4 linked regions of the Arabidopsis thaliana genome follow. The main gene of each other region encodes a partner of the protein of the gene in region 2 in a complex. Each region holds a gene or a part of one and is shown on either strand. Other genes may lie near its edges. The genes, in order: AT5G20170, MED19A, AT5G03500 and MED32.

Evidence for each region.
Region 1: MED19A (region 2) and AT5G20170 share a complex: the UniProt entries of both Arabidopsis thaliana proteins name them as parts of the mediator complex.
Region 3: MED19A (region 2) and AT5G03500 share a complex: the UniProt entries of both Arabidopsis thaliana proteins name them as parts of the mediator complex.
Region 4: MED19A (region 2) and MED32 share a complex: the UniProt entries of both Arabidopsis thaliana proteins name them as parts of the mediator complex.

Annotation. Positions count from the first base shown.
Region 1 is NC_003076.8:6,803,332-6,812,567, forward strand, and holds AT5G20170 (RNA polymerase II transcription mediator), read right to left. Parts: upstream 7,589-9,236; 5' UTR 7,399-7,588; coding exon 7,310-7,398; intron 7,222-7,309; coding exon 7,017-7,221; intron 6,857-7,016; coding exon 6,743-6,856; intron 6,539-6,742; coding exon 6,453-6,538; intron 5,962-6,452; coding exon 5,574-5,961; intron 5,492-5,573; coding exon 5,045-5,491; intron 4,936-5,044; coding exon 4,621-4,935; intron 4,541-4,620; coding exon 4,223-4,540; 3' UTR 4,044-4,222; downstream 1-4,043. Other genes in the region: SPX1 (SPX domain-containing protein 1), read left to right, coding at 1-36; AT5G20160 (Ribosomal protein L7Ae/L30e/S12e/Gadd45 family protein), read right to left, coding at 744-770, 870-1,001, 1,328-1,648, 1,769-1,771; AT5G20165 (kish-A-like protein), read right to left, coding at 2,631-2,692, 2,886-2,920, 3,035-3,103, 3,201-3,307, 3,397-3,399; AT5G20180 (Ribosomal protein L36), read left to right, coding at 7,981-8,135, 8,423-8,579. UniProt on the Arabidopsis thaliana protein: Component of the Mediator complex, a coactivator involved in the regulated transcription of nearly all RNA polymerase II-dependent genes.
Region 2 is NC_003076.8:3,950,470-3,959,074, forward strand, and holds MED19A (mediator of RNA polymerase II transcription subunit 19a-like protein), read right to left. Parts: upstream 5,717-8,605; 5' UTR 5,440-5,716; intron 4,875-5,439; 5' UTR 4,817-4,874; coding exon 4,789-4,816; intron 4,667-4,788; coding exon 4,377-4,666; intron 4,143-4,376; coding exon 3,906-4,142; intron 3,717-3,905; coding exon 3,657-3,716; intron 3,497-3,656; coding exon 3,446-3,496; 3' UTR 3,350-3,445; intron 2,908-3,349; 3' UTR 2,671-2,907; downstream 1-2,670. Other genes in the region: AT5G12220 (las1-like family protein), read left to right, coding at 111-277, 364-470, 564-619, 840-1,014, 1,279-1,563, 1,680-2,545; CLE22 (CLAVATA3/ESR-RELATED 22), read left to right, coding at 7,271-7,582; AT5G12236 (uncharacterized protein), read left to right, coding at 7,679-7,813. UniProt on the Arabidopsis thaliana protein: Component of the Mediator complex, a coactivator involved in the regulated transcription of nearly all RNA polymerase II-dependent genes.
Region 3 is NC_003076.8:873,792-881,381, forward strand, and holds AT5G03500 (Mediator complex, subunit Med7), read right to left. Parts: upstream 4,585-7,590; 5' UTR 3,983-4,584; coding exon 3,959-3,982; exon of another isoform or gene 3,876-3,958; coding exon 3,735-3,875; intron 3,653-3,734; coding exon 3,583-3,652; intron 3,410-3,582; coding exon 3,243-3,409; intron 3,154-3,242; coding exon 3,080-3,153; intron 2,943-3,079; coding exon 2,882-2,942; 3' UTR 2,649-2,881; downstream 1-2,648. Other genes in the region: AT5G03495 (RNA-binding (RRM/RBD/RNP motifs) family protein), read right to left, coding at 13-196, 290-400, 532-693, 761-910, 1,007-1,059, 1,214-1,234; AT5G03510 (C2H2-type zinc finger family protein), read left to right, coding at 6,562-7,440. UniProt on the Arabidopsis thaliana protein: Component of the Mediator complex, a coactivator involved in the regulated transcription of nearly all RNA polymerase II-dependent genes.
Region 4 is NC_003070.9:3,969,665-3,976,638, forward strand, and holds MED32 (mediator of RNA polymerase II transcription subunit-like protein), read right to left. Parts: upstream 3,631-6,974; 5' UTR 3,578-3,630; intron 3,170-3,577; 5' UTR 3,148-3,169; coding exon 2,692-3,147; 3' UTR 2,322-2,691; downstream 1-2,321. Other genes in the region: LEW1 (Undecaprenyl pyrophosphate synthetase family protein), read right to left, coding at 323-330, 544-626, 715-811, 892-1,087, 1,218-1,279, 1,349-1,619, 1,777-1,824; AT1G11765 (Plant self-incompatibility protein S1 family), read left to right, coding at 4,244-4,657; AT1G11770 (FAD-binding Berberine family protein), read left to right, coding at 6,015-6,974. UniProt on the Arabidopsis thaliana protein: Component of the Mediator complex, a coactivator involved in the regulated transcription of nearly all RNA polymerase II-dependent genes.

The sequences.
Region 1 (9,236 bases), 2.9 Mb from region 2:
AAGAAGATTCCATTGTTGGAGCAAGAAGCCAAATAGAGAGTGAGACAGAGGCACACTCGCTCTATTCCACTTTTTTATACAATAGAAGAAGCTAACAGATTAAACAAGACATTATCATCAATGTACACAAAAAGGCAGAAGAAACTATAGGATCATGTTTCTGGATATCATCTTTGGTCGGTCATAAGTCCTTAGGTTACACAAAACTGCAATGTAACTTTGTTTCTGTGTTGGGTGTGTTGTAGTTGATGTAATATATACCACTTCAGATTAATTATTGATTTCTTCTTTTCCAAAGTCATATGCTAGATATTTCAAGTTCTCTACTACTACATATACAAGTTCATAATCCTCTTCAAGAAGAAATGATGACTGCAAATGATACTAGTGACTCGATCTCAATTCAAGGTAAGACTTTGCATAATGCAACAGACCAATTGATTTCGTATTCAATCTCAATTCAAGTCCTTCAATTTTTATTTCAATTTTTTTGTTCGTTTTGTGATAGATATCAAAACAAGTTCTTATAAATAACACAATGATTCGCTACAAACCAAAACCAGAAACCAACACAAATTCTTAAGAAACCAAGTTGCAGAAAAGTGAATTACGTTACAAACTTGAAGAGAAGATAGTAGAATAATGGACGGTTTTTGATTTGGTAGTTGCCTAAACAAAACTTCAGTCAAAGCCTTCCCATTCGCGGAGACCCATCATACCGAGCAATCAATTCAGAGAATGCCTTAGATCAGAAGCTTCTCAATAGCATCCTGAAGAAATGTAAAAAAAGAGTTAATGATTAACCAATTCTGTGGAATCAATGATGGTTCAAGGTTATAAAGAGAGTACACAAGTGAGGGCTAAGTTACCTTGAGATGTTGAATCTGTGATTTCAATTGACTAGCTTCGTTAGATGTGACTGAACAAGCGATAACAGGTCTAGTCACACCACAGGCTCTTCCCAAGGCTTGCTTTGAAGGCACAAAGACATAAGGAACATTCTACAAAACATTCACAAAGAAAGTAAGAATATAGAAAACTAGTATATAAGAACAACAAAGCATTACAGAATCAAAAACATACAAGCTAAACAAAATCATAAAAGACAATCATAAAGCTGTCATTTTAAACTCCAACAAGTATGAAATCAGAGTTTAGTTAACAAAATGATATACAAAACTTGGCTGAACATTGGCACAAACTAATCAAACTATATCCTCAGCAAGTAAACTTAATTCTCTTCTATGAACTAAGGAAACAAATATCTCATTTGCTAAATAAACTGGTGTATAATAAAAGAGAAACCCAGAGAAAGAAGAAGTCAAACCTTATCCTCAGCAAGTAGGGGAAGATGAAGAAGAATCTCTAGAGGCTCAGCATCTGCAGCCATGACAACAAACTCGGAGATTCCACGATTAAGAGTCTTCGTAGCTGAAATGAACAAATTTAAATAAATCAGGAACAACTTCACAAACATTAAACTCAATAAATAAGAGAGACAAACACACATGAGTAACAAGCGGATACCTTCATTAGCACCCTTCTTGAGCTGCTTGTAGTTAGTAGCTTGTTGAACGAGGTCAAGAATTGTTATCGATAACTGAGAATCTGCAAGCGGATACGCTTTAGGGTTGACGACTTCTCCGGTCTGCAAGAAGAAACGAAAACAAAAACAAATTAAAACCCAAATCAGACAATCAAAGAGTAAGATTCCTTCGAAAACACTGCAAGATAATACCGAAAAGAAGAAAGAGGAAGAGAGAAGTACCATTTTCAGCTGCGATGTCTAGGGTTTCAGAGAGGATTAGGGTTTTAGAGGCTACGACTTTCTCAGCTTGAATATTCTGAATGATAACTTAGGCTTACGCTGTTACTTATATGCTTGTCGATTTTATACATCTTTTTAATGGGCCTGGGTGATGATATACTTCGGCCCATGTGAACTAACCTTAACCGACAGAACTAGTTTTGACTTTGGGAGTTTGGTTTTTTAGTTTCTTCTTTTGTCGGCGAAATTTTGATTAAAGCCCAAAAGGGTAACCATGACTTCACCTTTGTTCTTTTTGCTCGCATAAAACTGATCGATTATCCAAATTGACTGATAATTTTACAGCTACCACACACACAACAAACTTTTATTAACTGATGCTCTCATTAGTTCAATGAAATTAGTAAACTTGAAGTTACGTATGTGATTACTCTCTTCCTTTACGACAAAGATGCGTTTTATTAGCTGGTTCTGGTGTCTTATGCTCTACTAATTTCTATGGTTGAGCTTTATGGACTTGTCTCCACATTAAAATAACAGACACAATTTGTTCCAAATACAAGACCATATCCATAATCCAAAGAGGATAATATTCTACTCTTTCAGTTTCATCAACAACCCCTTGGAATCTTTTGCATACAGAAAAATGAGCATCCCAAAGAAGTAAAAATCTACAAGAACTGGATATGTAAGAAGTTGACACTCAAAAGAAAATGATCGACACACCCATCATGAAGCATCCAGCGGAGACCCAAGGGCTCAAACGCTCACCTGGTACAAGTGATGACAAAGCAAAGTTAAGCAACAGAATGTTCGGCGATGGAAAACAAATGGCAGTAAAAGTAGGAGGATATAGACTTAACTATATGCCATCATGCATATGCTTAAATAGGAGATCGACCATGGGTTTTAAAGCATTAGAATCTGGTATTCATGAGTTGAATTTATAGTACAATTGTTAGTAGCTGCATTGATTAGTAACGAGTTCTTGCTCCTAGAAAGCCTATCACTACTTTCTATAGAACACATGCAAAGAAATATTGTTCAACACAATGTTTTTAGAAAGGTTTTGAAATCACAAGAGATAACTGAGCTCCAAAGGGGTGAAAAGGCCTACCTATTCTAGCAGCCTTCCAGAAAAATCCTCGAAACCTGCAATAGTAATTAATCAAGCAATTTCTATCATTAATATGCATAGAACAAAGTGATGACTGAGGGCATTAGATGCAAGCTATAAATACAAAAAAAGCACTAGGATGAAGTAACATTTGCAATCTAAAGTAACAATATGCAGAGAAATCTGACAAAGCATCTTTAATTTGGCAAAAGACAATGCTTGAAAACAATAACCGGTGTCAAAGCTCCAAATGTGTTAGTGTTATCGGTTTTGAGAATAAAATTCACGAAAAAGGAGAACAAAGAAGGTACAAACCCAGTTTTCTGCTCTAAAATGGCAGGGAACTGCATCTTCAGATATGTGCATGTGCAGATCACAAGCAGCACCACCGTCAGAAACGAATGGAAATTGAACAAAGCTGACTGAATTTATCAAAGATAAACAAAACTCTTAGCTCAAAATCACTGAAATTAACAAAATTTAACAATGGAACAGAGAAGGCAATAACTACCATTGTATCGGATCACTGAAGCACTTGAGAAGCTAATAATTGTTTCCTTGAATCTGAAATAACCAGAAGAAAAAAAACAATAATGGGAATCACATGAGAATCGATTCGAAGACACAGACATGCCCAAGAAGAATCATAACTAAACACATGAAAAACTGAGCAAGTACAATTATCGTCAAAACCTAACAATTTATCACTACCGAGATTTGTAGAAGAATAATCAAGGGAATATGTTCATCTATTCGTCACTAATAAATCAGATTTACTATATATAGAAGCATCTGTGAATTTCATAATTATCAGATCATATAGTGAATCCAACTCCATAACGGTGACTCTCTCTCGAGAGAGCAGCAAATCAGAAAATTGAGAAATATCGATCGGTGGATGGGATGATACAAAAAAAGGGAACAGCAAACCTGAAGTTGAGCTGAAATCGATGCTAATGGCTAGAGAAATTAGGGTTTTGAAGCTTGAATCTTAGCAAAACAGATCAGCGAGACGTCAAGAGAGGGATCGAGAGACGGAGGAGAGAAACGTTCGCGTCAGAGTTATTCTCGTTTTCTCTACATATTTCCAATTCTACCCCTTTCTTCCTTTAAGTACTAAAGTCATTATGATTTCAAAGATTTTTTAAAAAAGAAAAATTGATAATATTATTTGAAATAAAGATGTTTTATAATAATCATCAATCCTTAATCCATAAAATCCACATTTCCAACTATTCAAAAAAGTGATGTTTGGGCTAGACACTAGAGTCTCACTAAACCATTGTAATCTACAAATCTTGAAGAACTAAACATGTTCACTACTTGTCTTTCAGCATTTACAATCTCTCTAAAGCATTGCGACCAGTACCACACAAGTTGATCAAATCCATGAGAACAGAGTACAAGACATCCAGAGACAAATGACCCAACAACTTCCTACTCTCCGACACTCCTTCCCTCTCCTCTGTGCATCCATTCTCCATCACTAGCCACCACGAGATGCATCCTTTTGCGTCTTCCGGGTTTACATGCGCCACCAGGCTCACTCTCTCCCCTTCCACTATCTCTAACGATAGTGACAGAAATTCCCTGCTCGCTTTTGTCCCTACCGTCCGTGCTTCCTCCAGTAGCCAACACACTATCTGGCTCGCCACCTTCTCAAATAAATAAACCGCGTGTTTAAGGGACCGTGTTGCTATAGACATGATCAACTTTAGGAAACGAAAGAACATACCTGTTGGAGAATCATCACGGGAAGGTCGGCCACGTCGCACTCGTATTTGTTTATAGAGAATAGATTGCAGGAACTGCTTTTGAGTAAGCCAACCACATTGGGCGTGCATTCCGCTTCAACACTAATACAATCATCCTTCACCACCACTTTTGTCCGGAACTGCGTCTTAAGATTCCTCTTACCATCAGGAGACTGGGTTTCAGACCTTCCTTGGGGGATGATTGATGGAGGAACAGTCATGAAGACAGTCCATGACGATGTCCGAGAATTCCATGTAGGATGAGATATCAGATGAAGATACGGGACCTTGCAGACCTGTTCAATGAGGAAGTAACCATTTTTTTTAAAGCATGATCAAAGATGACAACAAGTTTCTTGATAGAGAAGGATCATTCAATAAAGTTTAGCACATCAGGGAAAATACCACGCTTTCAAGATGCACAAGAACTCTATTTGAGAAGATTCTATGAGTCAAAGATAAGCAGAAATGGTCAAGAAGTCCGGAGTTGCTGTCCTTTTCTGTTTGATTGGATGCTCTGATACTTTTTGACTTGAGCTGATCTTTAGCTTTTCCAAAGGCATGCTCGTGAAAAATTTGTTGCAAGTATATTTCATAGCTGGTGCGATTAGGGAACCCTAGCTTCTTCAAGCGATAGTCTCCTCCTTCTGCTGGTTCTACTCTGCCAGATGATTCAATGAGCAAGGTTGCAGATTCCGACTTCTTGATGCTGGGATTTTTGCCTGATGGGTGGAGAGACACAAACAGAGAAGCTCCTTGGCCGATGCTCATTTCCATAAAATTTTCTCGTAGTCCACTTATGTTGAATCCCACACCTTCATTGAATGCTTCACGATTTAGCATGTCAAACAACTGGTAAGAAGACCAAAGAAGTGAGAAATAGTCGTGAAGAGATATACCAAGCGTACTACAAGATATATGACAAAAATACCACCTGCTCAGCAAAAATTGATTTATGCACCTCCCTCAGTAGCGAATGAGTTTCTTTAACATATTTGTCGTCACTTGCAGACAACTTCTCTGATGTTCCAGGGATATCGTGACCAGTAGTCGAGTCTATGTGCTCATCAGATTCGTTTGAGTTGCCAATCGGATTTAAGCCAACATACCCAAACCGAAGAGAGTACCATGAATCTTGGGGTACATTAATGGCCAGCATACCAGCTGAATCATGATCTACACGAATAGTGGACAGTGTAGATGGGCGAAAACCAGAAGTCGGATCATATAATGAACTGTCAGAAAGATCAATGGTGAAGCCCTCATTGCTGGCATTTGAAGCAAGCATGCGTTGTCGCTTGACTTTCCAGTTCCGCTGCAACCTATAAGCTTGTTAGTATAGCAAAAATAACCATTTGCACGTATAAATCAATCTCTATTTTGGAAGCTGAAGTCAGCTTATCATTTTATACAAATTATGAGCAATTTCAACGGAAATTCTCTAATTTGTGTTGGCATAATCTTAAGCAGTCACTACACAACAAAATGGATGTTCCTGAAGTACTGTACTATGCAGGTTCAGTAACAGAGACGGTGTAGAAGTCAAAATTTAGAACTTTTTCACATTAGACAAGAATAATAAAATGCTTTCACGTTTATCAGTCATAAGTCATAACATATTACAAAACCTACGTGCGTAATAACTCTACATCCAAAATTCGGACGCTAATTATCTGTGCACAACACAAATAGCTATGACATTGTAAGCTACCTAAAACTAGTATCAAGAATGCAAACAACAAATTCTTAAAAGTTGCAAAATAGTACTAAGGAAAATAGCCACTGACATTAAATGAAAAGCAAGTACTCGAACCTGATAAGAGCACCATAAAACCTTGCTTCACGATTGATTTTCTGCTCTAAAGCTTTTGCTGATTGTTTAAAGTAGTTTCCTAAATTCTGCAGAGGAAACAGATATTCAGAAGTGAGATAAGCATACCATCCAAAGACAATTATATAGTTAAAAAGCTCTTTACGAAACCAAGTTAATGTTTCCAACAGTTTCTCAGGATACTAAAAAGTGCCTAACTAATAACAATTACAAGAATCCTTCCATCTTTAAGCAAAGTTAAATTGCACATAAGAAAGTAAGCTACTGATTACCCGGTAGCCCTGCAGCTTGGTAGCAGTAGACACAGCAAGATCCGAGAGAATCTCATTCGGCATCGGCTTAGGTCTGGTCATCCCAGCAACTGTTACTGCATCATTTGCTTGGACCTTCAAAGATAAAATCAGAAGATAAATTGTTTAAGTTTTACTCTCTATTCAAATATCAGAAACCAAACTTCAGCTCCTTCCATTCAAACCAATAAAACAGACACTGTAAGAGCTATGAATATCCCAAAATTCTTATCTATTATCAACAAGAGTCACTCACTGTGTCGATAAGGTCAATGATGACAGTGAGCTCCTGATGAGCCAATTGCAAATTCTCAACCATTCCCTTCCATTTCCATTGCTCCACGCTATCCTTGGAGCTTTTCTTCTGCTTCTTCTTCTTCAGCTCATCTTCCTCTTCCAACGCCCACGCGAAGTCTATTCTCCGAATCAGCGATACTCTCTTATCATCGTAATCAACATCACTACACGTCAAAAACAAAAGGAATAATTTAGAAGCAAAACAATCTGGGAAGATTTTGTCTCGTTTCTCAAACACCAGACAACACTTACGAAGGAAAACGCTCGGCGCCATTTTCTTCGATAGATTCCAATCGTTTAATGGGAAGCCTGTCGAGAGAGATTTCCATGTCGCTATCCATATCGTACAGAAAAAAATCTTCCCGGTCAAAAATTCAGATTTTCTAGGTCGACGGTAACACAGTCCGGCCAAATCGCTTCAACGCTCCAAATCGGATATTTAGATCTAATAATCCGGGTCAAAAAAATTCCGGATCATTTTTACGGGTAAAGCCCATTAAAAGCCCAAAATATGTTGTACTCTGACTGTGCAAAACTCCTCCGTAAAACCCTTTCATTTGCATTTGGGAATCGATTGCTCTTCTTCGTAGTCGCCTTTGAATTCGCAGGTATTTTTTTGTTCTTCGCTTGATGGGTTCTCGTTGATTATCACTCGATTTCGTATCTGGATCTATTATAGGGTTTTCTCTTGTGTGATTCCGTGTAGTTAGAGATGGATGCTTCAGATTCGTTTTACTTTTGCTTCCATCATCGGATCAACTAAGGATTGCAGTTTTTCTGGTAGATTAAGTAGAAATGATATGTTTAGAGGATACAATCCTTAGTTTTGAATCTTAAAGTTGAATACTTTGAAGAGTTCTCTTTCATTTTCATCTAATGAGTTTTGTGTTAATGATCGGTTGTGAATTGCAGAGTGAGAAGCAATGAAGGTGAGATCATCTGTGAAGAAGATGTGTGAGTTTTGTAAAACAGTGAAACGTCGTGGACGTGTGTATGTTATATGCTCTTCCAATCCTAAGCACAAGCAAAGACAAGGGTTCAGTTCCTTTGCTTATGAAGGAATTACACCTTCCCCTTTGTAAGTGAATCTTGTATCTGGTTTTCGCTTTTGAGTAATTAGGTGTCTCATTCGGATTTTGGACGGGTTAAATACAGTGTATATTGACTACTGTGAATCACTTACTACCCAAATTTTGTCCTATAGAATCATTGAATGAAAAGTGAGGATCTATTTAGAGTCTGTTGAACAGTTACTAAAATACATTATAGTGGAACATCACACAGAAGCATGAAGCATGTGCACTTGTTTTCCTTCGCAGAGTTGAGAGTAACTTACTTAAAAAGTTATTTGGGATTGTAAAACAGGTTTGCTGAGCCGATTGCTAGTCAGGAGTTGGTGAGGCTGCCTGGTCAGGGGGTATCAGCCGGACTGGCATCACTTTTACACAAAAGGCCTATGCCAACAGCGTATTTCGGATGGAGGTCTGGTCTTGCATCCATTCTCTTCAAACAAGGAAATTAGGATGTCAGCATTTCCCTTTTTATTCTTCAGATTTGTAATCGCAGTTTTCTTCCAATTCCTATGAAACATTATTGTATATCTCTCCACTTTTACTTTGGTCAGTCGTATGCTCCTTCGAGACCTGTTTGATTGTGCCTCGCATGACCTGAACAAAGAGATATATTATGACACTCGAGTATTTGTTTTTACATTTTCCACTGGAGCATATGTTAGGGATCAATATGTTTTTCTTTTAGAAAACTCTGGTTAGTGATATCCACATCGATTACATGCCAAGGAAATGAGCAAATTGTGGTTGAATTTGTATTGACCGCGTACCAAGTAGTTTGAAATATGTTGTGGCTCATTTGCGCATGTTTATAGTCAAATTTCACTATTCCAAAATGAGGCTGCACAAAGCACACCCACTAAATGCGAATCAAATACAATGAAACTGGAGAGACGGAGACTTCTCAACGACAACGACCCTTCTCTTTCTCCACCGTTGAGCACTCGGCTCGTAGGTCCTACGTGGTGGTGTGAGAGGTCACAGGAAGCCCACTCTGATAGGCATATCCCATGGGCCCCGCTTCTGGACAGTACTACTTTTGGACATAACAAGCCTTCTTTATTACTTTTTGTTGTAGTTTTCCCTCAGTCAAATCGTTAACAGCTTCA
Region 2 (8,605 bases):
AGCTTAAAATTAGTTGAATGAAGCTTGCTGCTTCAGACCAGAGAGCTTAATGGTTGTTACTTTATATGTGTAAAGTAGGGATTTTTAATCTCTTTTGCGGATTTTTTCAGGTTGCAACATGGCGAAGTAGAGGATCTCTTCCAGCGCCTGTGGATGTTACTTGTTCCCTTATTGAAATTCAACTCAAAGATGGCTTTATTCCGAGGGAGAAACAATCAGCAGATGCATTGTATTCAGAGCATTTACTGCAGATGCTATATTGCATGGGAATACTCAGGTGACTATGAGTTTGCTTCCCATTTCTTGATATGTTTTGGTTTGTTTGGTCCCTGCAATTGTTGACTCGTATTTTAATTTATGTAGGCTTGTGAACTGTGTCATAGAAAAGACAAGGAGGAGAGAAGACGTTTCAATTGCGGATGCTGCTAGAGCAATCGGTATCCCACGTAAATTAATCGATCTTCGTCATGGTAAGAATCTTTGGGGACCTTTCCTTGGTTGCTTACAGTGACTTTTCGATTCCTGGATGATGCTGATGATTGATTTGATTGTTCTATTTGTAGAGGGTTCTCACCGTGAGCTCCCTGCACTCTCGGTGCTTCGGGATGCTGCAGATGAGGTACACTGTTTTCCTTCTTAATTCTGTTTGGCATTCTAGATTTCCTTATTTCAAGTATCATAGTTCATGAAGGTCTGCTACCCTGTTATTCAAAACGTTTGCTCTTAAGATCTTTTTTGAAGGATCCAAAGAGTCTTTTTAAAAAGATGTTTTATGTGGTGTGTTCTTGGACAATACAGAAGATTTTAACTTGCTTGCATACATTCGTTGGTCGTTGTAGGCTCTTGAATGGTTGAAATCGTATTATTGGGAGCAACAAAAGTATCAAATCCCCTTAAAGAGAGATGGAACAGCTAGCATCAGAAGAGAAGTCAAATCCAAACTCAGGAAACTTGCTTTCTCCTTGCAGCTGAAGCGTAATCCTCAATTTGACTCCCCTTTGGTCAAAGAAAAATGTAATACTTCTTTTGTATCTTGGATCTTGTGCTGGGGAAGGGCTAGTAAGTAGTAACACCAAGCAAAAAAATGGGAATGATCCCATCGGTGTCTTGCTTGTTTACCTCGATGAAGTTTATAATGACATGATACATTGGTTTTGGCTGCACTAGATTATTTTTCCAGCTTTAGAGATGGAAATAATTTTGGGTTGCATTTTCGTGTTTAACTTCGCATATCTGTTAATTCGTAAGGTCATATAAGGTTATTTTTGTGATTTTCAGGTTCTAATAAAAGGATAAGGAAGATTGTAAGCAGCCTTGTTGAGTTATACCCTTCTTTCTCCGCAGAAATTTCATCTGTGCTCCTTGAATTCTTACTCAAGGCCTTGGATTCTTCAAAGTCGACAGATCTTCAGAATAAGGCTGGGCAAGATTTCAGGGTCTTTCTAGATGAATGGAAACCTGTAATAATGGAACTCTCAAATAGAGAACCTGAGTTACTTTTGACTCTACTCAAGGAAGTCCTTGATATGATCCAAAATAATGAACGGAGAAGACATGAAACCGGTAACTATTGGTTTATCCTAAATGCTTTTTCTCTTAAGGATCCTCAGTTGAAACTTTAAATTGTTTTCAGATCGTTTCTAACATGTATGAATTGTATCTAAATTTGCATCTTACAGAAAAGCCAGTGGAAGAGGTTTCTCAAGTTGAGCAGGTCCCTTTCTTGTTTGCATGGCTTGTGAGTCTTCTCAATGGATCAAAGCATTTTCAGAGAAACAGTTCTCTAGAAGTGAAACCTCCAAGCATTTTCCTTATGGAACTTATACGTAGATGTCTTGTCTTGGGAGCCTTAGGATATGAGCTGGTTTTGAAATCAGCATTTCTACTCGCAGAGATTGTGGGAGGCCGTGTCTTAAAGGAGAAGCTCATAAAACTTCCTCTTATGCATAAAAGCTCTGCAATTGTTCCATTGAAACAGAGTTCTACTCTTGTAACAGCTAGTACAACGCTCCTTGAGCAAGAGAAGAATCTCGGTAATGCAGGCAAGAGACTTGAGTTCGTCAAACTTCAACTCTCAAAGAAGAAAGGTATTGACACAGACAAAACCGGTAACAGATGGAGAAAGGCAAAAACATGGAGCCCTTGTCCAATTGGTATGTTGCCTCGGATCATTGGATCTTCTGGACGTTTACCTCTTCTTGACAATCAGAATGCTAAGAGCATCTCAAAACAAGCACAAGGTAACAACAATGCGAAGAGAGGAGCTGAGTGTAATAGAAATCAATTGGAGAAATCGCCATGCAAGCGAGCAAGGAAGAGTGCAGGAGATTCTGAATCAAATGATGTGACATTGGAATCATACGAGGAAGAAGCTGAGATGGAAATAGAACATGCATATGAGGAAACTGAAACTGTAGCAGAAGAGAATCTGATGTGGAATGATGAAGAGGAAAGTAGAAGCTGCCTTATGATAGATGGTGAATGGAAAAGAGTAAATGATGGAGAACTCTCGGGGATGGCTTCTAGTGTTACAATTTGTGTTTGAGATTTCGACAGATGTAATCATATAATCCGACATATTTTTGAGAAAATAGTTCAGATATTTGATCAATTTTTACAGGCATAGTCGCAGACAGATAGACATTGTGACACTCAAGTAAAAGTAAATAAGTGGATTTGACAGTTACTTTTTCAACAACATCAATTGGTAAGTAAATTATTATACATGAATAGTAACGATTTGTGTTGTATTGAGTATATAGACAGAAAAGAGATGGAATAGAACACCCCAAGAAAAATGTTACAAATCTGACACCAAATCAATTATGATACTAAATTCTTCTTCTTCATTTCACAAATTTCCCCTTTCTTCTTCAAGGAATGAATTCACCAGTTTGGGCTTTTAACCTACAAAGCCAATCATTTTGTTCAACACAACTTGAAAATATAAGAAAGTAACAAAAATGTAAGCAATGATTTGTGTTAGCTGAGACTGTTCTATTTAGAAACACATCCTATCTTTGATATGTTCTTTCGACAGGTTACCCGATTTTCATTAGTTATGTATCACGGCAACTTTCTTAAGACCAGAAAAGAATCCAATACCAATACAGAAGTCGCACAGAGACACATACAATGTTCCCTTGCAAATGTTGCGTTATTTGGATTTCAGTAACTTAAAGAATACAACACAAAACTCAAGTATCTGCCTAAAAATATTATGGGTTCAGTTCCCCTAAAGTATAGTATCTGGACTATAACAGATGTATATGTTCTATGAAGGATCCCGGAATACCAAGAACACCGAAAAAATTGTACAAAAGAGACAGGACAGTACACAGATGCTTACCTAATAAGCTGTCTACAGTGAGTTGAAAAGTGCTTCTAAAGTCTCCATGACACCTACTCGAGTGCAGAATACAAAATTGGAATGTCTACAACTTTTTTAGCCAGCAACCCTTATTGCACCCACCTCATCAAGCTTTGAGCTTTTATGCTGCAACAGGTTCAATCAAGAGCTGAATCAATACAATTTATCAAAGACATATTACTAGTTCTCTAGCACCTTTGTGCAAAAAAAACATTATGGTGGAAATTTCATGTTGAGTGTTAATGAAGAACGAGAAAAATTTGAGGCCCCACTTCATTACCATTACCTTGTTTTTTTTGTGCCTCTGAACGTCATTAAGATCTTCATCTCCATCGTGTTTCCTTTTCTGAAATATAAGTGAAAAGGCTCCATAAAAACTCAATAAAATGTTCTAGAGCAGTCTCTAGATCTGCTAATTTCATGCCAAGCAGGTCAAAAAAGCAGCCTAACTCAAGAGCAACAAATACAAAACTTTCCATTAAGCTATTCTTCTTTGGAAAGACAGACACCTTCAACAAACAGACATGTTCTTTACCTTATCATGATGTTTCTTAGAATGATCACCCGAATCATGGTGGCCATTTTTGTCCTTCTTTCTGTCTCGGTCCTTGTCTTTATCTTTATCTTTGCTTCTATCTTTATGTTTGTGCTTGTGCTTCTTATGCTCTCTATCTTTGTCTTTATCCCTGTCCTTGTGTTTCTTATGTTTCCTGTCCCTATCTTTCGACTCACTTTTTGACTTAGACGGAATTGTAGGAGCTCCCTTCTCTGCCTGAAAGAAGAATAGTACCAAGGTCAATCATCTCCATAGGACACCCAGATGTAATTCACATTACTAGGGAAAGATTCTCAATTAACCAAAGAACTTGATGTTACAGGAAATAGGACATTCATTACTGAGCCAGTTTTTAAGTTCAATGTAATGGCAAATACTGTTACTCTTATGAAAAGAAGGACATTTAAAACTCAAAACACCAAGAGAGAGTGAGAAAGATCAGATTCTTACTGGGGGTAATTCAACAGGAGTCATATCATTTAGTTGGAAAGACTCCTGAAGCTCATCTATATCAAAAGGCTGGATGCGAATATTAGTCTCCCGGCTCTGTGATATGCTCTCAATAAGCTGATCTAATTGCATTCCTTCTCCTTTTCTGATCTCTGTGTCCCCAACCACATTATGAAGATAATGGGAATCTGATAAAGAAACAGGAAGAGATTTCTTGCAAAAGAATTCATGGTGTTGCACTAGTTTGAATTGAGATATAAGATCCGCAGCACCGCACAACTCTCTTGGACCTGCACTTGAAACAAACAACACATTGACCTCAAGGTGAGCCAAAGGGGAAAACAAAGGACAACGAGCTACAAAAAAAATAACTTCACGAACTGAAGAAGCTCCAAATTCGAAACCAATGTACCTCCAAATTTTAAACGTTCAGGCTCCATCTTCTCTATCGCACTCTGAATTTCTTTTGCATGATCACTGGCTCACTGCATATATATCCTACACAAGGAAACAAAAATCAGAAAAAGCATAGAGTGATAAGGAAATAATACTACTACAGAAAGCAAATTCAGCTTCGATACTATCTAAACTAACAATTCTGTAGCACAAACAATACAAAAGTTATAACTAAGCACCAGCTCATATTTCATAGTGACCAAAACTAAGAAGTAAGAAAATCTAATTTAGCATTAGATGCTATCAATTCTCAACTTTTCTGCTCCAAGCTCAAAAAAAATGAAACTAGCATCAGAAACAAAACCCTAGAAAGTTTTCGGAAGTTTGTAAAAGTAAAATTAGATACCAAGTCCATACATTTTGGATCTAGTCAACAAGAAAGTTTCATCAATTTGTTCTATTTAGGAATGAAGCTAACAAAAAAAAAATCAGACAAGCGAAGTAATCACTAGAAACGAAGATTAGACTCGATAAAAAAGCTTCAAGCAGAAGAGAAATTCGAAATTGAGGAATTTGGAATTCGAAAACGAAACAAGACAGAGCCCAATAGCAAAACCAAAATCTCAGATTCAATTGGTAGGAGAAAGAATCGAAACAATCAACATACACGTTTCTTTCGACAAGCCCAGATCTCGTTTGAGAAAGCTAGCTAACGAAAGCAGCGAAACGTGAGGGGGGAAGTGTTTGGGTCTTGGGCTTGGGTATCGAATTCCCGCCTAAAATTTTGATTTTAGCAAGTGATCGAGAAAGGACAGAGATCGAAGAAGGTTCGAGAGAGCGAAAAAGCGAGACTAGTTAGGGTTTGAGAGTCTTTTGTGTCTGATGACCAATGAGAGAGGAATTATTCTCTGTTTTCTTCCGTTGGCTTCTCTCTCAATATAATCAACAAATTACAGTCAGCCTTTTTTTATTATTATTCAAGGGCTCCGCGTGGGCTTCACGCGCTCCTTCAACACGGCCCACTTAACCAGACAAATCAAGGATCTTCCATTAGCTAAACCGTATTCGAACCGAGTAATGAATCTCTCTTTAACCGGTGGTACTCTTATCCAAACAAAAATATCCACGACTATTTATATCCGATTTAGATTGTTATCTCTTTCTATATTTTTTATTTACTTGAGTGAAAAACATGAATTGTTATTCTAAAAAACCATTATAAGACCGAAAATTATCAAAACATAAATAATGTAAGTTTTCAGTGTTTTGGGTTGGTCGGACAGGTCTAATCCGATCGAGACATGCCTAACAATATCTTCTACAATTTAAGATGAAACATACGATGAATACATACGTGTATATTTGCTGATATAACATCAGAGACAAAGTGCTTGACGAGAACAAAATGGAATAATGGTATTTTTGGGGATTTGAGTTTGTATACCTGCTCTCTACTATGTAAATGATGATTTGTCTGCTGTAAAATAAATGGGAATATAATATATAAAAACGTGATGACTGATGAGGATATATTGAGGTACATATCACATATGGTGTTTCTTGACAAATATTGGACGTAAGTCTTTGTTTTTTCTTCTATAAACTTTCAGCTTGATTTCTTAAAAACATTTGTTGCACAAGTTGTAAATACGTTTATCGAAGGTAGAAGATGCATATTGGAGAATCATATCCATATATGTATCATGTATGTAATTTAGTTCTTGTGATACTGTTTTCTTTATTCTCTTTCTTAACTCATAATAAAGTAAAATTAAAAAAAAAAAAGTAATCTTAGAAAGACTAAAAAACGAGAAGCAAATATAGATATACAACATTTATATAAAATGGAGAGGAAGAAGATTCAAGTGGTAAGTGGATTTTTTCATGTGTGTGAGTGAGTGTAAATGTGGGTGAAGAAAAAGGGAGTGAAGACAACATCATTTTCCCCAAAGAAAGCTAAGTCTTAGAATCATCACTCCAATTCCCTTTTTGGCCCCTTCTTCTCTCTTTTCTATTTCTTTCTACTTTTGACCCCCTTCACATAATTACCTTCCTCTATATGCTTTATTATCACACCCTCATTACTCTCTAAAACTAACCACTATAAGTATATTATTAACCACACTAATTACTACCACTTGACCTAGTAATCCCAGCTAAGACCTTTGGAAATGATTCAACACACAAAAAAAACTTTCGTTAAAAATTAATGATATATATATTTACAAACCTCTATCTAGTTTCTCTTCTCTTTATTTGTAGAAAGTGGTGGAGAATAAGAAAGGGAGAGCAACAAACTTTTAGAGGAAGTCATAGGTTAAAAGCCCCATAGCTTTTTCTTCCATCACTTTCATTCCTCTCTTCTCATTCTTACAGACTTTGAGAGAGAATTTATTTAAGAGATCTTGATCAGATCTTTTATACTTGCAAAAATCGATTCTAAATATATAATCTATACCTTATAGAGAAACTCTTCATATCTTGAAGATTCCTAAGAGATGGGAAATTACTACTCTAGAAGAAAATCTAGGAAACACATCACTACAGTTGCCTTGATCATCCTTCTTCTTCTTTTGTTTCTGTTTCTTTACGCTAAAGCTTCATCGTCTTCTCCTAATATACATCATCACTCAACTCATGGAAGCTTGAAGAAATCTGGAAATTTGGATCCAAAGCTTCATGATCTTGACTCCAATGCTGCGTCATCAAGAGGATCAAAATATACTAATTATGAAGGTGGTGGTGAAGATGTTTTTGAAGATGGCAAGAGAAGGGTCTTCACAGGTCCTAATCCATTGCACAATAGATAAATTTTTGCTTTTACAAGTTTTTGTGAATTTTTGTCTGAATAAAACTCATTTGTGCAAACACAAAAAACATATTTATTTACTTTTTTTCTTACACTGATGATATACACTATATCGTACGTTATATGCCGTGATTGTAACTTATGTGTTCTATGTGGTGGGATGAGATTGAAGAGTGTTGAACAACGAGTCTTTGAAAATAGTAACTACTGCTTCTCGGTTTTCTTGATTTAATAGTGTATCGATAACACGCATAATTATCTTTTGGAACCCTTGTTTTTGAATATGAAGCTGGTGGAATTCGTGTGGTGTGTGTGAATATCTTGATAATGATAAATGAACATCATTGTTAATGCCAAATGAAAAAAAAAAAAAACAAGAATGAACATCATTGTTAAATTGAAAGAACTATAAAGCTAGTCTATTACAGAGTTGGATGTGAAAGATGTAAGATTATTACAGGCTATTTCATGCTTACGATATTGAATAAAATTGGTTTGAATAGCATTTTATTAGTCTAACAAAAGCTGTAAAAAGAGAATCATTGAGATGGGAAAACCTATTTGACACTAAATCACTTACACTAACAAACCACATTTGTAACAAAAGTAAATTGCAAACATACTTAATGTTAACTTCATCTGGAACAGACGAATAATTTGGTACTCTACTGTATAATCTTATTTACCTCGAATCATTGACTGAGTTTTACTATGAGTATACAATTTACTAGGTGTGGGAAAATGTAAGAAACAGTAACGAGAGAACTGTCGGAAAATTGGTGATAAAATGCAGGGCCAATAATGAGATTTTTCGACATAAAATTAAAAAGCTAAAAACAAGAAGTTAACATTTATAGATACCAAAAACATTTATAGATACCAAAATCAATAACAATTCCGATTGAAATATGGAGCCTTTGAGAAAGACTTGAAATCATAACTAGACGAACACGAGAAGATAATTTTTGCGCACTCATAAATTCATAATTACGATAAAGAAAAAGACAAGACTTGGAAGTGTCTC
Region 3 (7,590 bases), 3.1 Mb from region 2:
ATTTGTACGTACTTAAGGGCGTATAGCCAGTATGGCCAGTAGGCGTGATGATGGCGCGCCCTTTTCTTTTTTTAGGTCTTCGGGTTCTATCAAAACAGATTCAACTACAAGATTCATTCCTCCCATTTTACATCCATTTAGTTGAAGCGCCTTGTCCTCACATCTTTCTCCTTGAAGATAAATGGAACCTGAACCGCTGCCGAATTCAACAGAAACAAAGAGTCTTTAATTAGTTAGAGTCAACAACTTGAGAGCTGGGACAAATTGGAGGAAGAAAGAAGCGACAAACCTAGGCAGAACCACAACTTGCGTGACCTCTCCACATGAAGAGAAATGTTCACACAAGGCCATCTGGATATCAATCTTAGGAACACAAGTGTCATATCCCGTAACGCGGACCCTAAATAATAATTTGATTGCAGGAGATGAGGAATATAATTAAAATGACAAGCCAAGTGTCTTACAGATACACAAGAATCTAAACTAATAAAAATTTGATTGCAAGGATCAGGTAGTATTATCAGAATTTACCTGTGTGTTTCAAGTTTGGGCATGCCAGGAAGCCAAGGATCCATGATTTCTTTCTGCCAGAGTGCAGGCTTAACGATTGCAGTCCATCCTCCCGCGTCAGTTCCACTAAGCAGCAATGCCTTTTCTTCGCCACCTTCTCCTTTGATACACATGAAGGCGACACTGTAAAACCAAGGATACAAAGTTTATATATTTTTTTGGGGAAAATCGAAGCCACAAAGTACGGTACCTCTTGAGGATACCCCTTTCAAAGTCTCTGGGAACATAAATATGTGTGATCTTTCCGCATGAAGCGAAATGTTTTTCCAACACGAGCTTGACTGTATACTCACGGAGCCTAGTGTCATATCCCTCCACGGAAATCTTCGTCCAAGGGATACTAGCAACAATTTTGATTGCAGGTGGAGAGTTAATATTATTATATGATCATTCAGCACGTACCACCAAAATAAAATTCCCAAGATAATATATTTACCGGGGCTTTCGAGAGTTTGCACCAATCTCGTTCAATTGCAGCAATTTCATACCCTAAGGTACAACAAAAGATCTAATCAGAGATTCTACTACGCGTACTTGATATATTTTTCTTCTTACTTGTGGAGAAAGAAAACAACATTAATAGAGAAACAGAGGTTAAGCAAAGAGTGAGTAAGAAGAAAATCCATAAGGGGAAGAAGATTACTTTGATGGCGGATTCGTCCATGGTTATTGATACAGAGAAACCACAATTTCTCAATTAATCCAATCACAAACACACATTGAATCGTCGTTCATAAAACGAGAATCCAAATCTCATGTGATAAAGCTTAGAAGTAGAAACAGCTCTATCACAATGAAGAAATAGCTATGAGAATTCAAATAGAACTCTCAGAGAAACAGAGGACAAATGAAGAAGAAGAAGATAACAATTCAACACAAATCTCATGAATGATTATTTTTCCTCTTCGCTTCCTTTTAACGCTTCTTTTCTCTTCTGTTAGCATCCAAACAATCTCAGCCATTAAACCAACTTCTAATCTCCACCCTCCACGTGTCCATTTAACCCTCTTTCTTATTCCTATATCAGTTATAAATTGACAAGAACGACTGCTATGATCTAGGGATTTAGTTCTGAACTAGGTTTCTTTGTCTTTTTTGTTTCGTTAATTCCCTAATTTTATTCTGGTTTGGGACATTTCGTGTGTATGAGTTACGAACAAACTGTTGGGCCTTGAATTTAGTTCTGGCCTACGTTTAAGCCCATATGGTTCTAATCTTCTTCTTTTTTTATAAGTTGAAGCTTGTAGTACTTGGTAATGTAGCGCATCAATAATAAATTGTGGAGCATAAAAATGATAATAAAATGACTATTGTTTGATCTTGGAGTCCAAACAAACTGGATATCTTCAAACCGATGTCGCCAGGCTTTTGCTTCCCGAATCCAAAATTAAGACTCTTCCCGTTGACCAACTGAATGACTTGTTTAAAATCACCTTCAAAGATAGCTTTGGATCCATTTTTGTTAAAAATTAGAAAACAAGGTTGCATTGTAATACCGAAAGCAGATAACGTTAATAGATTAAGCTTACTACTGTTTTTTTCTAACATCCAGAGAATGACATATCATACATGATCAAGGCAGGTGATGATTACTGAGCTTACTTACTTTTAACATGCAAAGACAAAAACAAACAAAGGTAAATACATTATAAAAAAACAAAGAGGTTCGTCTCCTCCTAATTCTCCATCTCCCTCCTAATTCTCCATCTCCATCCTCTTTCTCCTGTCCATATCCATCTTAATCTTCATCTCCATCCTCTTGTGAAGAGAAATAGAGTGAGTAAGAGGAGAGTCCATAAGGAGAAGAAGATTACTTTGATGGCGGATTCGTCCATGCTGATGATAAATTGACAAGACCGACTGCTAGGGTTCCAAAGATATTTGACAGGATTTAGCTTTGAACAAGGTTAATTTTTTTTTGTTCAACTATTTTTTGTTGATTCCCTTATAAAGCTGTTGTTGTTGTTCAGATACTTACGTGTAGTTACGAACAAACTGTCGGGTCTTCAATTTAGTTTAGCCCTGCGTTAAGCCCATATTGGTCTAATCTTCTTATGAATCCGTTATGGTTATAATAGTTCCCGTTAAGCCGAAATTGTAATAATAAATGTTGAACCGCACTAACCGGCGGAACTAAATGCCGGTTCACGGGTAACATTGAATAAAGATGATATAGGCTTTACTTGTTGAATCATGAGATTGCACACGTCTGTCTCTCTCTCTCACACACACAGGATCAATTAAAAAAAGTTTCGAGGGCATAGGTTATTAGCGCTAATTTACACAAAATGGGATTAACAAAAAGTATACTTTATTGACCATCTAAAGTGACGAAAGCATCCTTAAGAAGTCCTTGTGCTTCTTCTCTCCTCCTGCACACAACCAAAACATCAAACGGACCCATAAGAACAACCAACAAAGCTTCTGAAGAATCTTTAAACAGATGATAGATTGATATTAAATTATTAACACACCATAAAGACAGAAAACTTAAGTAGCATATACAAACCTCTTAATGTCTTCCACAGCTTGTTTCCTCTGTTGAATTTGAAGTTCCATAATGTGAATAAGCGTTGCTCTCGCCTATACAACAAGAGAAAGATCAAAACGATGAAAAAACAAAAAGTGTTGAAACCATGTTGTAATTAATCGAAAGATGAGAGCTTCTTTACTTGGTGAGGCCTCAAGGAATTGAGAAGGTGATGCAAGTTCTTGAAGATTGAAGAAATTTCACCAATTCTCTTCGCATATTGAGAAGGTCTGTCAACAAGAACATCAGCAAGCTCCAATATATGTAACTGTAGTTCTCTATTCAGTGACCTGAGTTCCTTCTTGTAATCTACACACAAAGATATTTGAACTCAAAGAGGTACTTTCAAAGAACATAACTTGCAAATGAACTCATGTAATAAGTTTGATTCCAATGAAGGGAAGAACCAAAAACCATACTCTAGACAGCCAATAGCAATTGCATTTTGAGTTTGATTTCACAGAGTTAGGAGAATGACATACCAAGATTAGAATCTTTTGGATAAAGTTGAGGCACTCCTTGTTCTTCTAAGCTTGGAAGAACATCTTCAGTCTACTAACCAAAAAAATTGAAAATTGCTAAAAACACATAAAGATGAAGATTTTAAAGAGGGGGAAATGTGGAGGAGACTCACAGTATAGTTGCCTCCAAAACAGACGTAGGTGCCTTCAATCGGAGGAGGAGGTTCAGGAGCAGAATCAGTGTTTTCTGAGAAATCCTTGTAGAGTCTGTAATATGGAGGAGGAGGTGGATATGTAGCTGTAGCCATTATTCTCTACATATCCAAATCAAAAACTAAGCAAAATCAGTAACAGATTCCTAAAATTAGGGTTTCTAATCAAAAACAAATCCGTCTACCGCCATAAAACAATCTGTTCTCATTAGAATACAACTATGTCATCACTACCAAATAACTCTGCGACCACTAGAAACTAATCTGTCATCACTAGAAACTAATCTGTCATCGTCACGTTGAAGTAGCCGCCACCACCACAACCGTGTTATTCCTAAATCACCACCAATTTGTCCAAAATCGTCAAATGCTTAACAGTAGATTTCAATTGATTCATGAGGAAAAAAGAAAGGTCAATACAAAAAATCCAGTGGCCACAAATGGGTAGGGAGACGAATGAGTTGGTGGCGACAAGGAGAATCTGAGGGAGAGAAATAAAAAAATCCCTTTCACGGGAAGCATAAAAGACAGAGTGAAAATAATAGAACTCACTGGAGATTCGCCAGAGAGATGGCTCGGCGGAGAATTCACGCAGCCGGAGAAGACGATCGGAAGAAGACACGCTCACCAGAGAAAGCAAATCGAGATTTGTTTCCTCTCTTTTAGTTGGGCCTTTAATTTAGTTCAGGCCTGCTTTAAGCCCATATATTCCTAATCTTCTTATTCCTCGTGAAGCTTAAAACGTATTTCTAGAGCCGTTGAGGGATTTGCTATATGGGGGAAGACTCTGTTCCACCCACCTATATCAGAATTCAGAACCATTTTATATGCTTCAAATGACAAAAGAAAAATGTTTTTAAAATATTGGAATTCAATTGTGCAAGTTTCGGTATAATTTGTTTAGGTGATCCTTGCAAGTTGCAACAACTACTTAACGGTTTTTGAGAAGCCTTGTAAAAAAGGTTTTGTTAGGATGGTGATGATGAATGTATGATGGGTGACGACTAATTATGTTTATGATTTTATTTATTTATTTATAAAGTATATGCTTTGCTTAGGTTGAGTAGTGAAGCTAGCTAGTTGGCAAGTAATGGCTTCTTTTGGCGGCCAAGCAATTCTCTATCTCTCTTTCACACACACAATCCTCGACGCCAAGACTTAAATCAATTCCTCCTGATTTATTCATTTTAAAATTGTGATGATACTAGCTTCACAATACACTCAAAAATATTCTTCTTAATGATCTATTGTATGTATAGTAACACGTTAGCAAAAGATAATCATTGAGAGCCAAAGACAACTAATGTGTATAGAGTTGAATGAGTAAAAGTTGGATATCAATCCAGCTCTAAGAAACTCATTATGTAGAATGAATATTAAAAAAACATGTGTTTCTTGAATTTTATAAATTGCTGTCACCGAGTTTATTAGTATACTATACTACAAAGACCTAGACTACAGTTACAAACTACGATAAGGGAGGTTACTTCATCGAATACATATTATTAGCTAATCACAAGATTAATAATGGTTTGATCAAATAATTGGATAACCAAAATAAAAATCAAAGTTTCTTAGAAAGAGGCGCAAACATAGGGAGTGATATTATATATTTAATTCGTTTTAGCTAATATCATTATAACTAAATATTGTATACATAACTAGAATCATGATTCATAATTGTGTGTTGTGTAATTGTGGGTTGGCTCAACTGCACATGAACTGCTCGACCCCAAAATTCGATTGCCTTTTACTTTCCAATTAATTAACTTAATTATTTAATCAGCAACTTAAGTGTACATATATCCGCAATGATTAGTAGTATTAAGAAACAAAAACAGAATTCGACGTATTTTCAAGTTAAATTTGTACTTTAGTAGCTTTTATATATAATAGTTGGTTTCAAATCTTTAATGTAATTTGTTACAAAACGTAATAAGTTTGCAGGAATTTATAATATGCTTGAATTGTGTGTGTTGTGGTACTGTGTTTCGTGTTGAAACTACTTGTGGATGACTCAAGCCATCAATATAAAATTATTTATAAAGTTTTAGGATTTTAGTTAGTGATAATGTGAAATCAAAGGAAAAAAAATCAATAAATTGAGTGGCATATTTAGAATACGCAATCCAGTTTGATTCTTCTTAATATAATACATTACATTCCAAGTGTCAAAATTGTAGTTCATTTTATTAATAAGAAAAAATGGTATATGTAGAATGACACCTTCTTGAACAGAAAACACAGATTTAATTTCATTTTCAGAAAGAAAATAAAATAACATCTTCTAAGATTAGTGTTGACATTGAATCCACATTTTTGTTACTTTAGCTATAATGATGTGTGTCTTTTGAAATTATAAGGATGCTTATGAGTATTTAATAAGTAAAATACTAGTATTTTTTTTTATGTGATTCATAAGACAAGCAAAACAAAAGTTAACCAAAAAAAGAGAAAATCATTTAAAAAAAATTGAAAGGAAAAAAATAAAAACAAGAAGAGAACAACAAGTGGTTCCAGGCTTGCAAACCAAAACTTCCAGAAAGGAATCCTTCACCAAAAGTTATTTTGGGTTTGCTTCTTTTCTCATCTTTTCTCTTACCCATTACATTATATATACACACAATACTATTGTGTGTATAAACAAATACAATCACATACAAATATATATAAATACTTAGACATATAAACCAAACCCACCAAACACTCTTTGATACTTCTCTCCATATATACATATACGACCTCTTGTGTTCTTGAAATACAGAGAGCAAATAAAAAACGGAGGATCATGACAAGTGTTCTTGAGGAGAGTGGAGACCACGCGCGTCTTGTTCTCCTCATCAAGGGCAAACGCACCAAACGTCAGCGTTCTGCGTCTCCTCTTATGATGAACGCTGCTGCAGTATCCAGCGTTTGTAGCGGTGAACGATCATCAGTGGAGGTAAGAGAAGAAGAAGCTGCTGGTGAAGTAGAATTCCAAGGAGCTACCGATGAAGACGAAGATATGGCGAATTGTCTGATCTTGTTGTCGCAAGGACATCAAGCAAAGAGCAGCGACGATCATTTGTCGATGCAGAGAATGGGTTTCTTTAGCAACAAGAAACCGGTGGCTTCTCTAGGGTTAGGGCTAGACGGTGTTTACCAGTGCAAAACGTGTGATAAAAGCTTCCATTCGTTCCAAGCGCTAGGAGGGCACAGGGCTAGTCACAAGAAGCCAAAACTTGGAGCTAGCGTTTTCAAATGCGTCGAGAAGAAAACGGCGTCTGCGTCTACGGTTGAAACAGTGGAAGCTGGAGCCGTAGGAAGCTTTCTTTCCCTACAAGTGACTAGTAGTGATGGTAGCAAGAAACCGGAGAAAACACATGAATGTTCAATCTGCAAGGCCGAGTTTTCTTCAGGACAAGCCTTAGGAGGACATATGAGGAGACATAGAGGTTTAACAATAAACGCAAACGCTACTTCAGCAATCAAAACAGCGATATCATCATCAAGTCATCATCACCATGAAGAATCTATACGGCCAAAGAACTTTCTCCAGTTAGATCTGAATCTTCCAGCACCCGAAGATGAACGATGCTGCGAGAAACCGAAATTCGCGTTTGCATCCAAAGATCAGATTCTTCTCTTCACGGCCGCGTCAAATTCTTTGATTGATTGTCATCACTAATTAAGTAGTTCTTTGTAATTACTTTTTTATTACATTGATATGTTAAATCATTAACCCTTCTCTTATTATTGTCCATTCATTCTTGTAATCTGACATTGATTGAATTAACTTCAAATTATTTCATTCTTTGAAACTACTCATTGCTCCATA
Region 4 (6,974 bases), on a different chromosome or scaffold from region 2:
ACTAAACAGAATGAGAAAACTAAACTGTTTATTTTTTTACTGAAAAATCTGAAAGTTGTGTTCTATTTTTGTTTACACACGATAACCAAGCAAACCGGAACTTTATGGAAAAACCGGATTGGTTAGGTCCAGCTTGTTACTACTTAATCCTATACAATGCCAATGCATATGTTGCTTTGGTACATAGAATTGCCGGAAATTGGGAACAGTAGTGGCTGCACTGACTCAAAAGCTCTCCAATAATCTCTCCTTTAGAATTCATTGCAAATATGTGAATCACAAACCAAAAATCGATCTCTGAAACTCTGCTCTCTAGTCACCGTTAAGTTCCTGTCAAGAACAACCAGAACCATCCCAGTCAAGCAACATAAAATAATTAGGGGTGGGTGGCTCAATCAAATTCATAGGTGGAAACATTTGGAGTAAAGATTTGAGACTCAAAAGGCAAAAAGGTGACTCAGTCCAGCTCAGAGGTAGAAACTTTAGTATCTAAACTGTGTGTGTGAGAAGAGCATATAAAGTAGTGGGAGATGAGAGACTTACCATAGTTTTGGTGGACTCCTGTGAACTTGTGAATTGCCTTCAAAAGGGAACCATATCTCATATACTTCAAAGTTCCCATATGTCTATCAACAAACAAATACCGAGAAAAAAGACAAACTCTATGAGATTTAGCTCTAAAGATATAAGAGAAAAAGAGTTAAAAGCACGTACACTATCTCAGTGTATCGAAGTCTCCAAGCAGGGAAACCGAGGTGGCTCCTTATAGGTCCATAAACCAGTAACAGATCGGGTACATGCACATTCTCACCTGCCATAGTATTGATGATCAGATTCTTGGAAATAAACTTAATAATGACTTGAATCCAATATGAGAGAGTCAACACAAACCAACAACTCTTAATGCGTCATTCAAATGAGACTCTGTAAAAAAGTCTTCCCCTTTGTCGTCCTCAGGATGGCTGGATTTCAAGTATCTCTGAAGAAGTATGTTGGCTGCTTTCATAACAGCTTCTTTATTGTCTGAAGATGAAATGAATTCTAATGCAATGCGCTTTCCGTCAGGCGCAACATCCTTTTCAATCTCCTGGGAAAGAAAAACAAAAACATTGACAAGGTAAAGTTTATATCATGAGCTACATAACTAACAACATAAGCTAAAGATTTGATTCACAAGTAAAGCAGCAAACTAAATGAAAGGTATGAGATTAATATACCTCTAACAACATGGAACCTGGAACGGTTTCAAGGATCAAATCCTTGGATTTCTTCAATAAACCTAAAGAAGCCAACATCAGCAATCATTTAATGAACGTGAAAAAACGAGATAAGTAGCTAAAGCATGTACCTTGAGAGTCAAATAGACCAACTTGTTTAACCCCAATGGTGGTTAGCCATTGCAAAAGCTCAACAACATTGGCAACATCTTGAGCTGCTTCGATGTCCACTACAACAGCTAGACACCGGAGTTTCTCAAGATCGATGGAACCGTACTTTTTATTCAATCCTAACGTTATGGCATAGCTTTCTATTGCCTCAAATATGCCAGAGACAATGTACCATAAGCTCACAACAATGTGTATAAAACGCCATAGCAAATTAAGACCAAGATCACCAATCTGTGGAATACAAAAATTCAACAGAAACAAAGTTATGGCTTGAAGACTCAAATTGGCAACACCAAATTGTTCTTAAACACTTAATTCCATAGGCCTTGTTGAAGCATTAATGAGCTAAAGCCTGTCAATGATCAAGGAATACAAAAAAAAATCTCACTTGACCAATCCAAGCACTGAGGAGCCGCATCGATTGATTCGAATCCATATATCTGAAAAATCAGAAAACACACAACAGAATCAGAAGAAATTTGAACAAAAGGGTTGTCAGAAATCAGAATTAACAAAGAGAAGAGAGACGTACACAAAAAGTGACTGTCTCCGTAAACAACGAAGGTGTTTGCTGCGTGTGTTAGGGAGATGTTTCCAAACCAACCAATCGAACTTTCCTAAAACCCAAAATTCCTTTTCATCGGAATCGGAAAAGGAAGAATCTTTGGAGGCGAGGTTAGAAAAAGTGAGACACTTTTGAAGATGATCTTATTAGCCTCTGTATCCTGGTTTTGGCGATTCGTTTGCTTAAACCTTAGCAAAAAATCACTCTAGTTTGCGAAACTAACTCTGTTATCTGAGAGGAGTGTGAGACGTCTCGGGTTCAAACCCTATAACTTAAGTCTTAAGTGTGTTTCTAACTTTTCTTGTCACGGTTTTGTTGTGAGTGTTCATGTTTTTGTTACGTTTATCACGATTTTGCTGTGAACGTGAGGTAATCAAAACTCAAAATTATACTAGTTCGTTTACATTTTTAAACTCTTGATAATCATGGTTAATACAAAACCAAAAACACATCATGTACAAGATCAAAATTAGTATTCTTTTTGAAACAACAGAAACATAATAACATATGAAGAATCACACAAAAAAAGAACAGCTTCTTTACTTGAGATTCAGAATAAAAAGCCCAATATTTAGTAAGAGTCATAAGTCCTAAATGATACCCCCAGTGTTGCTTCTAGCTTGGCTCAATCCCATGAAATAACAGAACATAACACTGATTAGGCCACTCTTCCCATCACAACGACTGACTCGAGAGTTATGGAGCTGCGGTTGTCGAACTTAACACTAACTAGGCACGCTATTGAGTCGAGTCTTCAGAGAATCTAGAATCAAACCCGGTAGAGGATGAATGAACAGAACCAGGAGCTACACCAGAGCCACGTTGCAGCTCAAGAACAAGCCATCGAACCGCTCTACTCATCTGTTCAAGCCTTACTGCACTAATGGGAGGGAGACTAGTCGCAGCACCAGTCACCGCTGCTGGTGCTTGGCCACCTGCTGCAGTAGTAGTTAAACCAGTAGCCTCATCAACTAAACACTCAGATCCAATTCTCTGCTTAACTGACTCCACAAACTCCTCTGCTTGATCACAAGCCACACGGAACAGTTCCCATTTCTCCTTGAAATTCTCCAACGCAGTATCAGTGAGCAAAGCTTTTTGTCCACCTGCACTCTCTTTAGACTCAAGAACACCAGCTGAAGCAAGAACAAACTTCTCATAAGCTTTGTTCAATGAGTCCACAATGTTATCCATTTGATCCCTCCCCTTCAAATAACTGCTCAAACCAAGTATCAATCATGAGATTTCAAGTTAAACAAGAAAAAACTGCAAAAGGAATCAAGTAAGATCCCAGCAAAAGTATCTGGAAATAAGAAACCCTAAAAACCTCAAAAAATCTTAATTCGTTCTCGTTAACGCTACACATAGAATGAGAGAACTCAAAACCTCAGGGAAAGAATAAGATGCTACGGTAGCAATGGAAGCTAAATGATCAAAAAGATTACATCTTTGAGACAGAAATTTAACGAAATTGCAAAACTCGCGATTGCTTTCGCAAACCTAGGGTTCAAATTCACGGCATAGAATCCGTAAACTCGTGAAGGAATTGAATCATTAGAGCAGTTTTAGACAGAATCTAAAAAAATCAGCCCAAAACCGCCGGAGATAAAGAGGAGAAACTTACCGGCGATGAACGGAGAGTCCGATTTGTGTCACTTTCTTTCTTCTTCTTCTTCATTGTAATAGTCTGGTTAGGTTTATATGGTAAAAATTGAAATTAAGATTGGTTAATACAAACCGGACCGACATAAACCGGATTGGTCATTTGGATTTTTTTTTTAATGTTAAAATTCCATATACATACAATTTAATTTCTCATCTTTTAAATATGTGTGTTTAATGTTATAAAATAAAACATCTAATCGAAATCAAGACGATTTTAATCAACTTTAGTGTTAATATAATAATAAAGTTATCACAATTAAACGATAGATATGTATATACTAATCGAATTATTTATCTGTTTGTAACGAATTGGCAGAATATAATAGGTAGTATTTGGTAAATGTATCACGTCAAATTACTGTCCGTGTTGAAAACAAATGTTCTTTGGAAATATTTACTCAAAGATCTAAATCCATATATTGTTCTCCACTCAACCATCCATATCTATTGTTGTGTTTGAAACGATTTGATACCGCAAATCATTAATAGAAAATACTAATAATAAGAGAGCAATATATAATAAGAACGTAAATTCAAAAATAGCATACATATATGTCTATATATACAATACCGTAAATAAAAAATTACTCCGATGACAAAACCTCTAAGCATCTAGAAAGAAAAAATGAAAAATACTTCAATCTTTCTAGTTGTCTTTGCCCTATGCATGATTAGCAATGCATATGGCCATTCGAATCCATTTAAAGGAAAAAAGACGTCGTTGTTATTCAGGAACAGTCTTTCTCACAACAAATGGCTCAAGGTACGTTGTAAATCTGGGGACAATGATGTTCGTGAAAGATATATGAAACCTGGAGAAGATTGGGGTTTTAGTTTCCACGATGACGTTATGGGAGAAACACTTTTCTGGTGTACAATGTATAAAGGAGCTGATTACAAGGTACAAAAGAAGTTTGACGCATATGTTCAAGACAAGAGAATGCCTCATGGTGGCTCGTATAATTATGTTGCTCAAGAAGATGGGATCTATCACAGTACTTTGATACACCGTATGCGGAAGATGTATGATTGGAATTAGGGATGTTGGATAAAACTCTCCTATGTTTATCCAATATTTATAAAATGCTTATTCAAATCTTTGATTTGATATAGTTGTAAAGTATTATTATTACTCTTTGTTTTCATGTAAGAATCACTCTTTACATTCAAAGAAAAGTGTAAGGGAGAAGTTTCAGAATGATTCAAAGAAGGACAATTTGTTTATGTGCATGTTATCCTCATGTCAATTTAAGGAATTCGTCAAGAACAAAAAATAACATGCCATTATTAAAAAAACATTACGTTTGCGCCACAAGCTCTTGACATTGCTTAATTACTTGTTCTCGCCTTTGTTCGAAGTGTTTTTGTTTGTAAGATCATATATCAGCTATACATCCTCCTTGCATTTATTATAGTGCCTAGATTTTTTTTTTTTTTTTTTTGACATTCAGTGCCTAGAATTTTGGTTTATGTAGATAGAAAAGTGACACTCGACGCAAATTCGAAAGAATGCCACCGAAAAAAATGGAACGAATGATGTTTCGCTATGTTGGATGCTTCAGATCCCATATAACAACACTACTCTCAAAATTCATAAACTCTCAAAACATATTAATTTAGTAGCATCACGAAAATACATGTTGTTCTCAAATCATTACAATAACTTCTACTCTTATTAGCTGAAAAGTATAACCTTATGTTTTTGTAAAAAGATTGCTAAACGTTATATTTGTATATCTTTTCAGTTTGTTAATGTCATTAGAACGAAGTGTAAAATCGCTTCAAGATTTGTTATTCTAAATGTATTTTAGAACAAATATTCTGAACATTAAATTATTTTCAACAAAATTTATTTTGAATAACAAATAACTTGTCATGGTCGTAACTCTTTTTTTTCATTCTCTAGATTGAATCAAAAATAATTTTGTTTTGTAGTATAAAACATTTTTGGTCTTTTATTCACCGTTTTATAGAACATTAATATCTCAAGTTCTAATATGAAAACAAAAATAACTGATCCCTCAAAAAAAAGGAAGATAAAGGTTGAAAGACATGTTATTCTCTTCCCAAAACAACCTAATCCAATACCTCTAAAAATTTATCTTTCTCACAATGCCTTCAAACAAATTGTGTTCTTTCTATAGTTAACTTGACTATATTAAAATCTCTAAAGTTAACTTGACTTCTGAAACTTGTGATCTTTCTATAGTTAACTTGACTATATTAAAATCTTGAGCAATTAAACCATTAAAAAAAAAAAAAACAGGAGAAACCTTGACCAATACAACAAATCCTAAAAATGGCCAACGATAAGAATCACAACAGAAATTTAAAGACTACATGTAACTATTTATACTACAGAAAACACCAAATAGAATCCAATCAAAAAAAAAAAAATGAAGATCTTTTGTTTAATTCTCTTCTTAATCTCCTCCTTCATCTCTACTTCTCTTGCCGTCGAACCTCCGCCTGAAACAATCTACCAAAACTTTCTCCAATGTTTCACAAACCAAACAAAAGCTCCTCCTAACTCATTAGCCGACGTCGTTTTACCAAAAACCGCTGCCGCTTTCACCCCCGTCTTACGCGCTTACATCCGTAACGCGCGTTTCAACACCACAGCGACTCCGAAACCCGCGATCGTAATCGCGGCGCGTTCCGAGAGTCACGTCCAAGCTGCCGTCATCTGCACGAAATCGCTAAACATCCAACTGAAAACTCGAAGCGGTGGTCATGACTACGAAGGTGTTTCCTACATCTCTCACGTTCCTTTCTTCGTCCTCGACATGTCAAATCTCCGTAACATCACCGTCGACCCCGCCACAGAGTCTGCATGGGTCGGTGCCGGTGCAACACTCGGTGAAGTTTACTACAGGATTTGGGAAAAAACCAAAAGTCATGGATTCCCCGCCGGAGTTTGTCCCACGGTTGGAGCCGGAGGTCACATTAGCGGTGGTGGCTACGGAAACATGATCCGAAAATACGGACTCTCCGTTGATTACGTCACCGACGCCAAAATCGTTGATGTTAATGGACAGGTTCTTGATCGGAAAGGAATGGGAGAAGACATGTTTTGGGCCATTAACGGTGGAGGCGGTGCTAGCTTCGGTGTTATCCTAGCTTTCAAGATCAAACTCGTCCCTGTTCCACCGACCGTAACCGTTTTCAGAGTAGAGAAAAACTTAGTCGAAAATGCTACTGAAATGGTTCATAAATGGCAATTTGTTGCACCCAAGACCGATCCAGGTCTATTCATGAGGCTATTGTTGCAGCCGGTGACTAGGAATAAAATGCAAACGGTTCGAGCATCGGTTGTGGCTCTCTTCTTGGGGGACCAAAACACTGTTATGTCTATG